Rhinolophus ferrumequinum: one gene and its partners. The protein of the gene in region 2 purifies or fractionates together with the protein of the main gene of each other region. This does not show direct contact. Links are inferred from orthologs where the notes say so. Each region holds a gene or a part of one and is shown on either strand. Other genes may lie near its edges. The genes, in order: CDK5RAP2, PRKAR2B and AKAP9.

Region 1 (3,750 bases), on a different chromosome or scaffold from region 2:
GGCTGCAATAGGGCCAGTGACGGATGGGGTGGCTCGAAGAGTACAGAGGACCCACGTGGGGATGGGGAACTGTCAGTGAAGGCTTCCTCGCAGTGACATCTAAAGTGAGACCTGAAAAACAGTAGGCATTAATATGGCAAAGGGGTGGAGGGAGGGCAATCCAAGCAGCAGGAACAGAAAGTGCACAGGCCGAGAAGTAAGAAAGGACAAGGCATTCATGACAAAGAATCTGGCAGCCAGGTGAGCCCGGGGAGAAGACAGGGTAGGGAGAGGGAGGACCAAGGAGGCTGTGAAGTTGATGGGCCAGACTAGGAACGACCCTAGAAGCTGCATTAAACAACTCCATCCTGAGTTTGGAAAGGAGCCGGGGAGGGTCTGAGCAGGTGAGTAAGAGATTAGTTGCCAGGAATATATGCAGCCCCTTCTCCCTGCGAAGTCAGGGAGAGGAAGGAAGGGAGACTATCTGATGATCTGCTGAGTTGCTGGATCAGACACTGGGCTAAAACGCTTCTAGACTCACCCACTTTACAGATGATGAAAACTGAGGCTCCCAGAGAATAAGTGACTTGTCCAACGTCACAGGATTGATAAGTGGCAGAACTGGGATTGAAACCCACCAGCTAGGTCTGGCCAACTAGCACTGAGATGAGAAAAGCTGTCTGAGAGAATAATGGACTTTATCTTAACGGCCATGAGAAGCATTAAACATAAAGTGCAGACTGTGATGATCAGATGTACATTTTAGAAAGAGCTTTCAAGCTGTGGTATAAAGGACTATTAGGGGCATGAAGGAAAATATGACAATCCAGGTGAGAGGTCGTCCCCCAAGATATCTGGGTAGTCTAGTAAGATGAAGAGAAAGGGACATGAACTGCCACAGGATCCAACGAGGCAGGAGCTGCAAAGGGCCTTCTCGACCTTATACACAGTAGGTTCTCAATAAACAAAGTAACCATTTGTCCAGGTTTGCCCATGATTGGACCTGTTTATGCCTGCTGTCCAGGCATATGTATTAATTGTGCCCATTTCACTCTTAAAAGTGTCTGGGTTTACACAACAAATAACATGGTCACCCTTTCAATTAGGGTCTGTTGACTAAAAGAAGCAGCCTGTCCCTAGTAGATTTGGATAAACACTGCGGATTCTCAGTCAGGCTCTCCTCTGCATCCTTCTACTCACTATCCAACCAGGAGCCCTGGGCAACCAAAGGGCCCTGGCCCTGGGGCCATGCCCGGCTCTGCCAGGCCTTCCTACCAGAAGGAGAGAGACCGGCGCCACCAGCAATGTGGACTCCAACTGCCTCGTTGGGCAGGTCCTTTGGGAGGCCACTCTCTCGACCATTACTCCCCATTCTACTGACAATGATGGAGGCAACACAGTCAATTTTTTGGCACTGATTATGTGCCAGGCACTACACTTGCCAAACAAACTACTGGACAGGGGCAGACACCTTCTCCTTTAACCCTCACCCCGACTCTGTTGGGTGGATTTTACTAGTAGCCCCATTTTACAGACGAGGAGGCAGGTTGAGCCACTCTACCAAGGTCACACAGCTAGTTAGTTTAAAGGGCTGGACTTGAACCCAATTCTGTTCAACTCCAGCCAAGGTTCTTAACCTCTGCCTCAGTCTTGGTGGCCACTATGTGACCCCCTAGCAAAGTCTGCACAGACCAACTACACTCACCATAATGACAGCAAACTCCCAAGGTCCTGCCCCCAACCAGCCTCCACTAAGGGTCCACTCTAAGAGGTCCCCCTTGTCCCGCTCTTTCGGAGAATCCCTTACCTGTCCCTCACATCCCCTTCCCCGTATGTCCCGAAATACGAGAGGCGGGTGTGGTGCAGGTCGTACCCCCCCGCCCCACTCAGTATCAGCTGGTGGGTCCCTAAGGAGGCACCCCGCACCCCAAAAAAACCCACCTTACACACTGCCCCTGTCTGCAAACCTTCAAACACCTTCAAGAGCAAACCCCAAGTCTCCGTTGGAGCGAACCCTCAACAGCTGGAACCCCGACCCGGTTATCGCGAACCCCCAAAATGCGGGCCGCACCTGCAGCCGCTGAGCGTCCCGGGGAGGGTGACGTCCTCTTCCAACACCGAGTCCATCATGGACACAGAGGAGGTGGTAGCACTGGTGCTTGTGGCAGCGGCACCACTGGTTCCCCACGCGGTCGCGACCCGCCGGGTTCCCCAGGTCCCCGCCCCCTCCAATCCAGCTCTTGTTCGGACTCTGGCGGCGCCGCTGGAATTCAAACCGCAGCCGCCGCCATCTTTCCCGGCGCTTCTTCCTACGGAAACGAGGCGGGGTCACCGAGGAGCTTTCACTGAAGCCGACCGGCTGCGGCCCGAAGCCGGGCAGGGATGCGCGGGCAGGCGCCATCTTAACAAAGGGCAGGGCGTCCGCATTGGGGCCCGCGAGTCGAACGACAGAGGGGCCAGCTGCCATTTTTTGTGAGGGTATCCAGGCCGAGGCGGGGCGGGCGCCATCTTTGCTGAGGGCGAAAGCCGGCCTCGGTTGGTTCATTGAAGCGGGAGTCGGGAATGCACCCCCTCACGGATGCTCAGAATTCGTAAAACCTGGTGTGTGTGTTTCTAGGATAATGACCCCGAACCTTGCAGTGTGTGCTTCCAAAAGGCTTCTGCCTTGTCTTGAAACTCAGATAATCGGGTGCTGCTTCGCTTTAGAAAAATCCAACCTGTAGAATCCCAACTCAAGTAGTAATTTGTGCACTTAGTTTGAAACAAACAAGCTCCTTCCTATGAGCCAAGTGGTCAGCGGCACTTACTATGCAGTCTGTCGCCTAATGATTCCTTATTACCTCTAGGGCTCAAACGCACCTGAGGTCGGCAAGCTGAGGCACACAGAAAGGAAATGACTCGCCCAAAGTCATGCACAGTAAGTTTGTCACCTCAAGCCAGATCTGTGGCTCCTGCCAGCTGCATCAGGGATCTCTGCATAACCCTGGCGACCTTCCTTAAAGCAGAGCCATCACCAAACACCTGGATAATTGGGGCAGAACTTGGCCAGTGAACTCAACCTTCGTCTCCCCATCTCAAGGTTGCTACCAGGAAAGCCCTGGATGAAAATACCTTGAAAAGATGGGCAAGTGGGTAGATGGTGACTTTCCCTACAATCATGTATAAGACCACCCGCACCGTCAGTTTCCTCCTTCTTCAATTGAAGAGTTACTTTCCGAAAGAGGCCTTCTCTAATTCTCGAAGGTAAATCAAGCCCTTTCTTATAATCTCAGCAATGGTGTTTTTCCTTCGTAGCACTTAACACATTTTGCAAGTATAACAACTTCTGCATTTGGGGGTTTTTTAATGTCTTCCTCTTGCACTAAACTGGAAGCTCCATAAGGGCAGAGACTGTGTTCCGAATTGTTTACTGTTATATCTCCCATAACTATCACACCCACCAGGTGTTTAAATATATATGTTGAAGGAATGATTCAATCAATCTGGAAAATGGGGCTAAAACCTACTCTGCAAGGTTTTTGTCATGAGGTAAGAATGACCTGAGATACCTTTAGTAACTCAGTCAGTGGTAATCCCATGTATCCCACTCTCTCTCTCTCTCTCTCTCTCACTCTCTCGCTCTCTCCCTCCCTCCGTCCCTCCACCCCACCAACCACCACCTCAGTAGTAAACCTACAAAGCTCATAGTGATGGTGTATACCTGTCCCTCTTGCTTCCCCAGATCTTCAACCACTCCTAGAATCAGCAATAAAATAACAGTCTGAGAGAGTG
Region 2 (3,750 bases):
GACCTTTACAAAAAAGTATGCCAGCCCCTTGGTAGCCTGTAATTGTTTTTAAACTCCAGGTCTCAACATAATTTATTTTTTAAAAAATAGGAGAGAACTGATCATAAAAGAAAATCTTTGGGTAGACATTTACAACTACACCTACTATAGGGAAGTAACATTGCCACAGTTCGTGTGTGAGTGTGTGTGTGTGTGTGTGTGTGTGTTGGGTTATGATCAAATTGTGTGTGTGTTGGTTATGATCTGGTTGCAGTCAAAAAAGTTTTTAAGCCCTTGGGGGTATGGCTGGGGCTAACAAGCACAATTGGTTAACAAGTATTTATTAAAACTCACTCAGTAATTTTTACAATAAAGGTATCTGGGAGAATATAGAACCATATAAAATGATTCCTGCTGCTTATAACTTAATGGATTATTTTTTTCATTGCAAAATGGAAATAAAAGCTGTTCTGTACACAATATACACTGTTGTAAGGAAAAAAATGGAATCATCAATGCCAATTACTTCAAAAGCATTATACAAACAAAAGATTTTAGCTATACTAACAACATACTGTATCAAACATGTATAGGTTCTTTACCAATTCCTAGTTTCCTCCAATCTTGGAACTAGCCCTTTTTTCCTTTGTGTGGGTGCATGTGTGTTTGCATGTGCGCATGTGTTTGTGTGTGCGCATGTGTGTTTGCATGTTGGAGCGTTAAAAGAAGTATTAGATGCCTCTGCTCTTTCTGTGTCATCCACTAATGGCTTCTCCTCTGCATCTATTTAAAAGATGTATTCTTTTTCCTTTCCTTGTTTCTAGGAAGAAAAACATTTGATTAAATTCTTGTGCAAAAAGAACAATTAAGACTGATCATCCTACCCTTGGAAACACTAAAAAATCCAAAATAAAAAAATTTAAGTAACAATCTTTCCTTTTATCTTTATAGAGCACTAATTTGCAGGGGTTTTGTGATTGTTTCAAACAAGCTAAAAATATTAATTTTATAACACATTTCAAGAATTTTGCAAAGAAAAGAAACACCTACCTGGGAACATACACAAGAAAATGACACTTTAAAATGTTTTCATTATATGAAATGCGCTGCAGACACACAAACCACAAGCAGCGTAAGTGAATAAAAGCTGGTGCAATGCTGAATGCAGGTTTGCCTTATACCACAAAGAGAAACACTTGCACACTGCACACATGTTGTTTTAGCTTGGGGTGCCACCGAGATGGGATCTAGGCATTTGTGTAAATACAGGAAGCTGTAACGTGCATGTGTGTCTGTGTGTGGAAAAGACGGTTGTAAGCAGAAGGGGTGGGACTTGCCAGGAGTAGCTATTCGAGAAAATCCCTTTTTCTCTCCCCCATTCATTCTTTCTAGCTTCAGTGCCTGGCACAGTCCTTACAATTACTCACTGGCTTTTCATTCTAAAGACAACCAACAAGCTTTCAAAAACTTCCTACAGTGTTTTTCACACACTTTTTTAAAACAGGCACCAAATCATTCAATATTTGTTTTAAATAAAAAGCAAACTATTAGCCCGTTTCCTCATTCCACAGACCCCGTGGGCTGCTTGCTAGAAAGAATCCTTTGTCGTGCATCTAAAAAAAAACACAACGCGGTTGGTAAATTGGAAAATAATAGATTACTCTGTTTCCAAGAATGTCAAAGCTTATCGCCATAAATTTTGTTCTGCCCCAGTGAGTACAATTTCATGCTCCTGTTAGAGAATTTGCCCTCCTAAACAAAGCCCAATCCAGCTGAACATCCCTCGCCTTTTCGCTCTGGACACTCCGTTAATAAACATAACGGCTGAAAGAGGACGCCAAGTGGGCCAATTTCCTTTATGCACAATGGCATCTGCCCAGCGCAGTATCGCCAACCACAGTGAAAAGTTGCCTTGCAGATGCCAACCCCAAGCCGGCCGTCCTGCGCTTCCCAGCCTAGGACCAGAGGGTGTAGATGGGCAGAGAACTCTAACCTCTCAGCTCCCGACCTCCAGAGGAGAGGACGAGAGGAAAGGCTGACAAGAGAACAGAGTAGGAAGGTGGGCGAATGGGAGAGACAGAAATGGATGCTGAGGGGGTGGGCAGGAAGGTAGGGAAGGTGGAGAATGCGGGGAGAGGTGAGAACAGCTACAGGATTCAACAGCAAAGGGGGAAACGGCGGTGGGGAGCGGGGGCGCGCAGGGGCCGATCCTCACCGTTGAACGCCCCGGTGTCGGCGGCCTCCTCCTCCTCCTGTTCTCCGTCCTCGGAGTCTGTGTGCATGGGCTCCTCTGCGAAGTTGACCCCTTTGCTGGGGGTGCCGCCCCCGGCGGCGGCGCTCGCGTCCCCCCAGGTCCTGCCCTCATGGCCCGAGCGCGCGGCGCCTTTGCGTTCGTTCTCCTGCTGCAGGCGCGTGAAGTGCTGCAGCGCGAACTCTAGCAGGTCCGCCGGCTGATGCCTCAGCACCTCCACCGTGAAGCCCTGCAGCAGCTCCGTCAGTCCCGCCGGGATCTCGATGCTCATCCTGCCTCCCGTGCGGCGGGCGCCTGGGCGCCGCCCTCGCCCCTTCCCCGGACCGGCCTCGGGCCCCGCGGGCGCCAAGCGAGCACGGACGGCGCTGGCGGCGCTGCCGACTGCGAGCGCGGAGCACTGGGCCCCAGCGGCCCGGCTGGCCCGGCGCGCGGCTCACGGCGCGCGGCTGCTCCGAGCGACGGCGGCGGCTGAGCGAGCGGCCCCGGGAGGGCTGGCAGCATCTCCGCTCCTCCCGCTCCGCCACGGCCGCTCCTCTCCGCCGCCCCCGCCCCGCCCCGCCGCGGCGCGCTGGAGGAGCGCCGGAGCGCGCCCACGTGACCCCGGAAACCATGGCAACCCCGCCGGCAGGGCGCCGCGCACCCGCCGCTCACAGGGGCCCGGACGCTGGCGGTCGCCTGCGGGCTTGTTGGGAACGCTGCCCGGCGCGTCGCCGAGGTTTGGGGCCCCCACTCAACACTACCTCGGGTTTTGCCCCCGCCGACCAGGCGCGCCTCGCTGTCCACCTGTCCGCGTGCCCGGAGCCAGCGGGCCACTCCGCCGAATTCCCACACGTCATGCACCGCGGGGAACCCACGCAGAGCCGGTGCCACGCGATTTTCCCTGAAACTTCAGCCTCCACCTCGGTAGCGGCATTTTATTTTCCTCCGAGAACCTAGTTGCATTGATAAGTGTGGGTAAAGTCTTTTGCTTAAAGTCAAAGAGTGGTACTGGTTCTCTTTTGGACAAAGAAGTGATACCCCATCTTTGTGACACCTTTCTTTTTCTTTCACCACATTTTATCCAACCTCTCTCCTTCCATCCTGTTGAATATGTTTTGCTTTACTAATACTGTACTATTGTCTGCCCTGTGTATTTTTTATCATTTAATTGTGAGGCACTTATCAAAGTTAGTCGATGCCTTTCAAACAGGATAGTGCAGCAATTGGAATAAAATGTCATGGTCAGGACAGACGGTCCTAAAGGAAGACAAGCTTTGCTTGATTAGGCTCTTATTATTCTAAAAGTTTCCCTTATGCTTGAGTGATTTCGAATGATATCACCAAAAATAAGAATACTTCAATATAAAGAGAAATAGAATTAGAGATGTGTACTTTTAAAGTAGAAATCCTTGACTTTGAAATGAGGCTTCTTCTGCAAATATTTACAATTTTGAATTATAAAATTGTCTTTTGACAATTAAATGCTGGTAAAAACACGTACTTCATTTTCTACAATGACTACCATACCATTATAAAAAAAA
Region 3 (3,750 bases), about 16 Mb from region 2:
CTCAGTAACGAGTATTAACTTAAAAATTTTTATTATAAGATTCCTAATTGCTTTGAAATAAATTTTAGAAACTTAAAGAGCTTTTCTGAATTACAAAATTTTGTGATTCATGTACATAACAAGATAAATATTTACCTACAAAACTTTAAAGTTAATTGTAAAGCTGCTGCAAGTTGGCTGACTTCTTTAAAATAAACATACCATTTCATACGCTTTAATTTTCTCTTGCAAAAAACTGATTTGCAATTTGAAGTCTTCCTTCTTTTTCTGATAATCTTCTAATAGATGGTCTTGTTCTTCTAGCTGCTGCTGATGAGTAAGAATCTGTTGTTTGGCTTGTAGTAAATCTGCAGCTGTGCTACTATGAGAGCTGTTTCTCAGCATTTCACTAGCTTGTAACTTGAAAACAGAAAGAAATCACAAGGTATTAAATTCTGCAGTGACGGCACTAAGGAATAGACATCTTTTGGGGTATTAGTTGGCTCACAAATGCTCTCTGGGAACTGTGCTGAATTTACAGGCTTGAGACCCCATCAAACTACTGCCATGGCTGACCAGATGAGTGTGGGCATGTTACCCAAACTGAACCAATAAGACTATCTTTCCCATGATCAAGCAGAGAAAGTAGTCTAGTGAGAGAGGTAACACTGAGACAGACATACTGAAAGAAATGGGGCCTGAAAGGCAATACTTCCTGGATTCCTGAGGACTTTCCAGTTTCTGATCCCAGTCCATTTCAGAGGCGTGGTGGTATTTCTGCCTTGAATTCTATTAAGATAAGCCTGTATCCTTATATTAAATTCCTCCCTTTTGCTTAAGCTATCTCAATTTATTTTCTGTTACTCCCAATCAGAAACCTTGATTAATACAATTAGACTCTTAGGGCTCTAATTAAAGGTAAATGGACTATATTCAGTCTAGTTACCATTTCAGACTCTAAAATAAAATCATACCAGGGTTGGCAAAGGTAGGATGTGACTACATGTTAATTTCTGCAAATCTACACTCAATCAGACTTATAAGGTTTTGTAGGATTTCAAAATACAAAGAAAGAAACCATGCAAAAAATATGAATTAAAGTCTTGGATAATATAACAAGAGGTATTAACTAGTTTTCCAAACATAATATGAAATAAGCAAATGGTTTTAAACAAATTTAAAATGGTAGTGGAAAGTGTGAAAAAAAATTAATTCCTTTCTAAAAATCTAATAAATTCTACTACTAATACTTACATGCTGAAATTGAATCTGTAATTTTTGACTTTGTTCTGTCAACTCTAAAAATTCTCTCATTGTCTCATCCTTTCTCTTCTTGCTTGTTGTAAATTAGCAGTAAGCTGGGTTATGATGCCATCTCTTTGTTTAATGGCTGCTTCAATTCTTGTAACTAAAAAACACCGATGAATAGTAAGTGCTAAACTTCTATTTTTTAACAAATCAATCATTATTATAGGTAACTGTTCTTCAAAAATATGATATTCACAACTCATTGGCAGAATCATTACAATTTGTAAGCAACCTTATTCACATTTGAAAGCTATTAGCTTGCAGGAATTGGTTTTACTTCCAAATCAACCTTTAAAAAATTATCTGAACTTAGAAACAAAACATATTAGGTCTGACTTATCCATATATCTACTGCTAGAAGGACAGTGCCTTTATATTCAGGGATGCTTCCATCTGTTCCTGGGCAACACCGTCATAGACAAGTTAAATCTCACTCATTTCTGGAGAGGGTAAAAGTGAAATGCGTTTTGTCATCCTCATCGACGTCCTATTTCATCTTGTTTTCATAACTGACTGCGACAAACAACACGTCACTTTAACCACAAGTGGTCACTTATAAGGACTCGCTGACATTTTTAATGAGTTTAAATCATCGTATTTTGATGTGGTTTGCACAATAATTTTCTCGCAGGTTGATTACAAAAACGTCTATTCTACTAAAGTGATTTCAACCTACCTATCCCATAATGTAAAATAAAAGAGTCCACGTTTTATTAGACCTGTTAATGAAATCCTAGTTTTAAAGAACGTGGTTTTGATATACACATAAGGACAAGTATCATCAGCTGACCTTAAGTTACCATTTAAAAACCCCATCTTTAAAGAATGTACGTACACTATCATTCAAATTTCCTATTTTTGTTTTTGTGAGTAACAAGACACATAAGGTAAACATACTTGCTGCAGTCCTTCAGTCCCATAGGTGGCCCTCATTTCTTCCAGTTCTCTGTTTAGTTCTTCAATATCATGCTGTTTGCCAACCAATTCATTTTCCATCATCTCTAGTTGGGTCTGATTGTATTGTGCTCCATGTTCCAAGTAAGAATCATCAACACCAAATTCTTCTTCCTAAATCAATCCAAGATTTTGAATAATTCAGTACAAACAACACTCCGCAGGAAGAATTAGTCAAATATTCAAAGCCAAGTCCACTTTAAAACATCACTCATCACCTGGGAGTTCACTGGTATGGCAAGCTCCATTGTTGTTAATGTGTTATGTACCTCAAGAGCAAAACAAGTTATCTGCAAATTCTGTTACAATTGAGTTTTACAACAAAGGCAGATAATTTTGTTTTGTTAAACCATTAAAGCATTTAAACATCACCCACAGAAAGAAATACATGCAGGAAAAAGCTTTGTTAGTAAGCCAGATGGTTTTAAATAATATAAAACATTAGTATCATAAGTAGTTTTAATACTATACCCTTAATAATTTGTAGGCTTTTCTGCTCCCACCACAAAACTGCAACCATTTACCTGTATAAAAACAATTTCCTGATATATTATGATTTTAAACAGAATTTTATTTAAAGCTAATAATTATATACCAGCTAACTGTATTCATGCCTCTTTTACGCCTAAGGAAAATGTCACATTGGCAGAAACAGATATAGTGTTTATCTAAAAGACATTATGACCATTTCAAATGCCAATCATTCCTCAAACATTTGAGTGCTTACAATCCAAAAGACACTGTAGTATACATTATCTTTAAGTGATCTAAAGTTCTAAGTGTAGTTTCTATTTTGTCTTCAGAAGGATAACTATAAACTTCAAGTTACTGGATCCTCTTCTACAAAATATTGCCTTAAAATCATTTAAATAATTGGTTTTTTTAATTAAGTCCTATTAATTTTAAAGTCAAACTGTTTACTGGTACAAATTAATTGAAGGTTGGCAAGCAGGTCAAGTTGTAGGAGGAGATGAAAAAGTGAGGAACACTCCCTCAAACTTTCACCTGGGGGTAGTACTATTATACGTATCAACCCTGACCAATGTGGACATTTTCTATAATATATTACAGCCGGTCTCTAGCTCAGGCATTTTGTGGAGGAAGAATGACTGATACAATATGTTTGCAGGGTTGACCTGGTGTGAGACTAATTTTAGATCAATTAATCTATTTAACAACCTCCTCTTCCTACCAGCAAGAGTATACAAAGGAACTTCACTCCTCCTCACATGTTAATTATTCACAATTCTATGTTAATAGAATACAAGATAATGATGTTTTTACTGTTGAAATACGTAAGGTAGAGTATCCCAGAATTAGAATTAGATCCATATGGACCACAACACTTTTAAAAATGAAGATCCTAATCAAGAGTTCTTTATCAGAGTTCGATTCCTTTGGGGTTTTTTCCCCTAATTTCTGAAAAACAAAGCTAAAGTAAAAAAACAAAAAACAAAAAAACTTTTCGCCTTTATGGCAACACAATACTGAAATCTGTGAAAGTTATCA

The links.
Region 1: the proteins of PRKAR2B (region 2) and CDK5RAP2 purify together in Homo sapiens (affinity purification with mass spectrometry; 3 studies listed by BioGRID and IntAct, counting the BioPlex papers as one, with this or other methods). This does not show direct contact. The link is inferred for Rhinolophus ferrumequinum from reciprocal best matches to the Homo sapiens genes PRKAR2B and CDK5RAP2.
Region 3: the proteins of PRKAR2B (region 2) and AKAP9 purify together in Homo sapiens (affinity purification with mass spectrometry; 3 studies listed by BioGRID and IntAct, counting the BioPlex papers as one, with this or other methods). This does not show direct contact. The link is inferred for Rhinolophus ferrumequinum from reciprocal best matches to the Homo sapiens genes PRKAR2B and AKAP9.

The regions. Positions count from the first base shown.
Region 1 is NC_046295.1:71,104,189-71,107,938, forward strand, and holds the start of CDK5RAP2 (CDK5 regulatory subunit-associated protein 2), read right to left. Parts: upstream 2,299-3,750; 5' UTR 2,110-2,298; coding exon 2,051-2,109; intron 1-2,050. UniProt on the Homo sapiens protein: Potential regulator of CDK5 activity via its interaction with CDK5R1. Negative regulator of centriole disengagement (licensing) which maintains centriole engagement and cohesion. Involved in regulation of mitotic spindle orientation.
Region 2 is NC_046303.1:50,236,573-50,240,322, reverse strand, and holds the start of PRKAR2B (cAMP-dependent protein kinase type II-beta regulatory subunit), read right to left. Parts: upstream 2,641-3,750; 5' UTR 2,502-2,640; coding exon 2,195-2,501; intron 1-2,194. UniProt on the Homo sapiens protein: Regulatory subunit of the cAMP-dependent protein kinases involved in cAMP signaling in cells. Type II regulatory chains mediate membrane association by binding to anchoring proteins, including the MAP2 kinase.
Region 3 is NC_046303.1:34,138,542-34,142,291, forward strand, and holds the start of AKAP9 (A-kinase anchor protein 9), read right to left. Parts: upstream 2,318-3,750; 5' UTR 2,185-2,317; intron 1,388-2,184; 5' UTR 1,294-1,387; coding exon 1,234-1,293; intron 400-1,233; coding exon 202-399; intron 1-201. Other genes in the region: A-kinase anchor protein 9, read right to left, coding at 2,715-2,765. UniProt on the Homo sapiens protein: Scaffolding protein that assembles several protein kinases and phosphatases on the centrosome and Golgi apparatus. Required to maintain the integrity of the Golgi apparatus. Required for microtubule nucleation at the cis-side of the Golgi apparatus.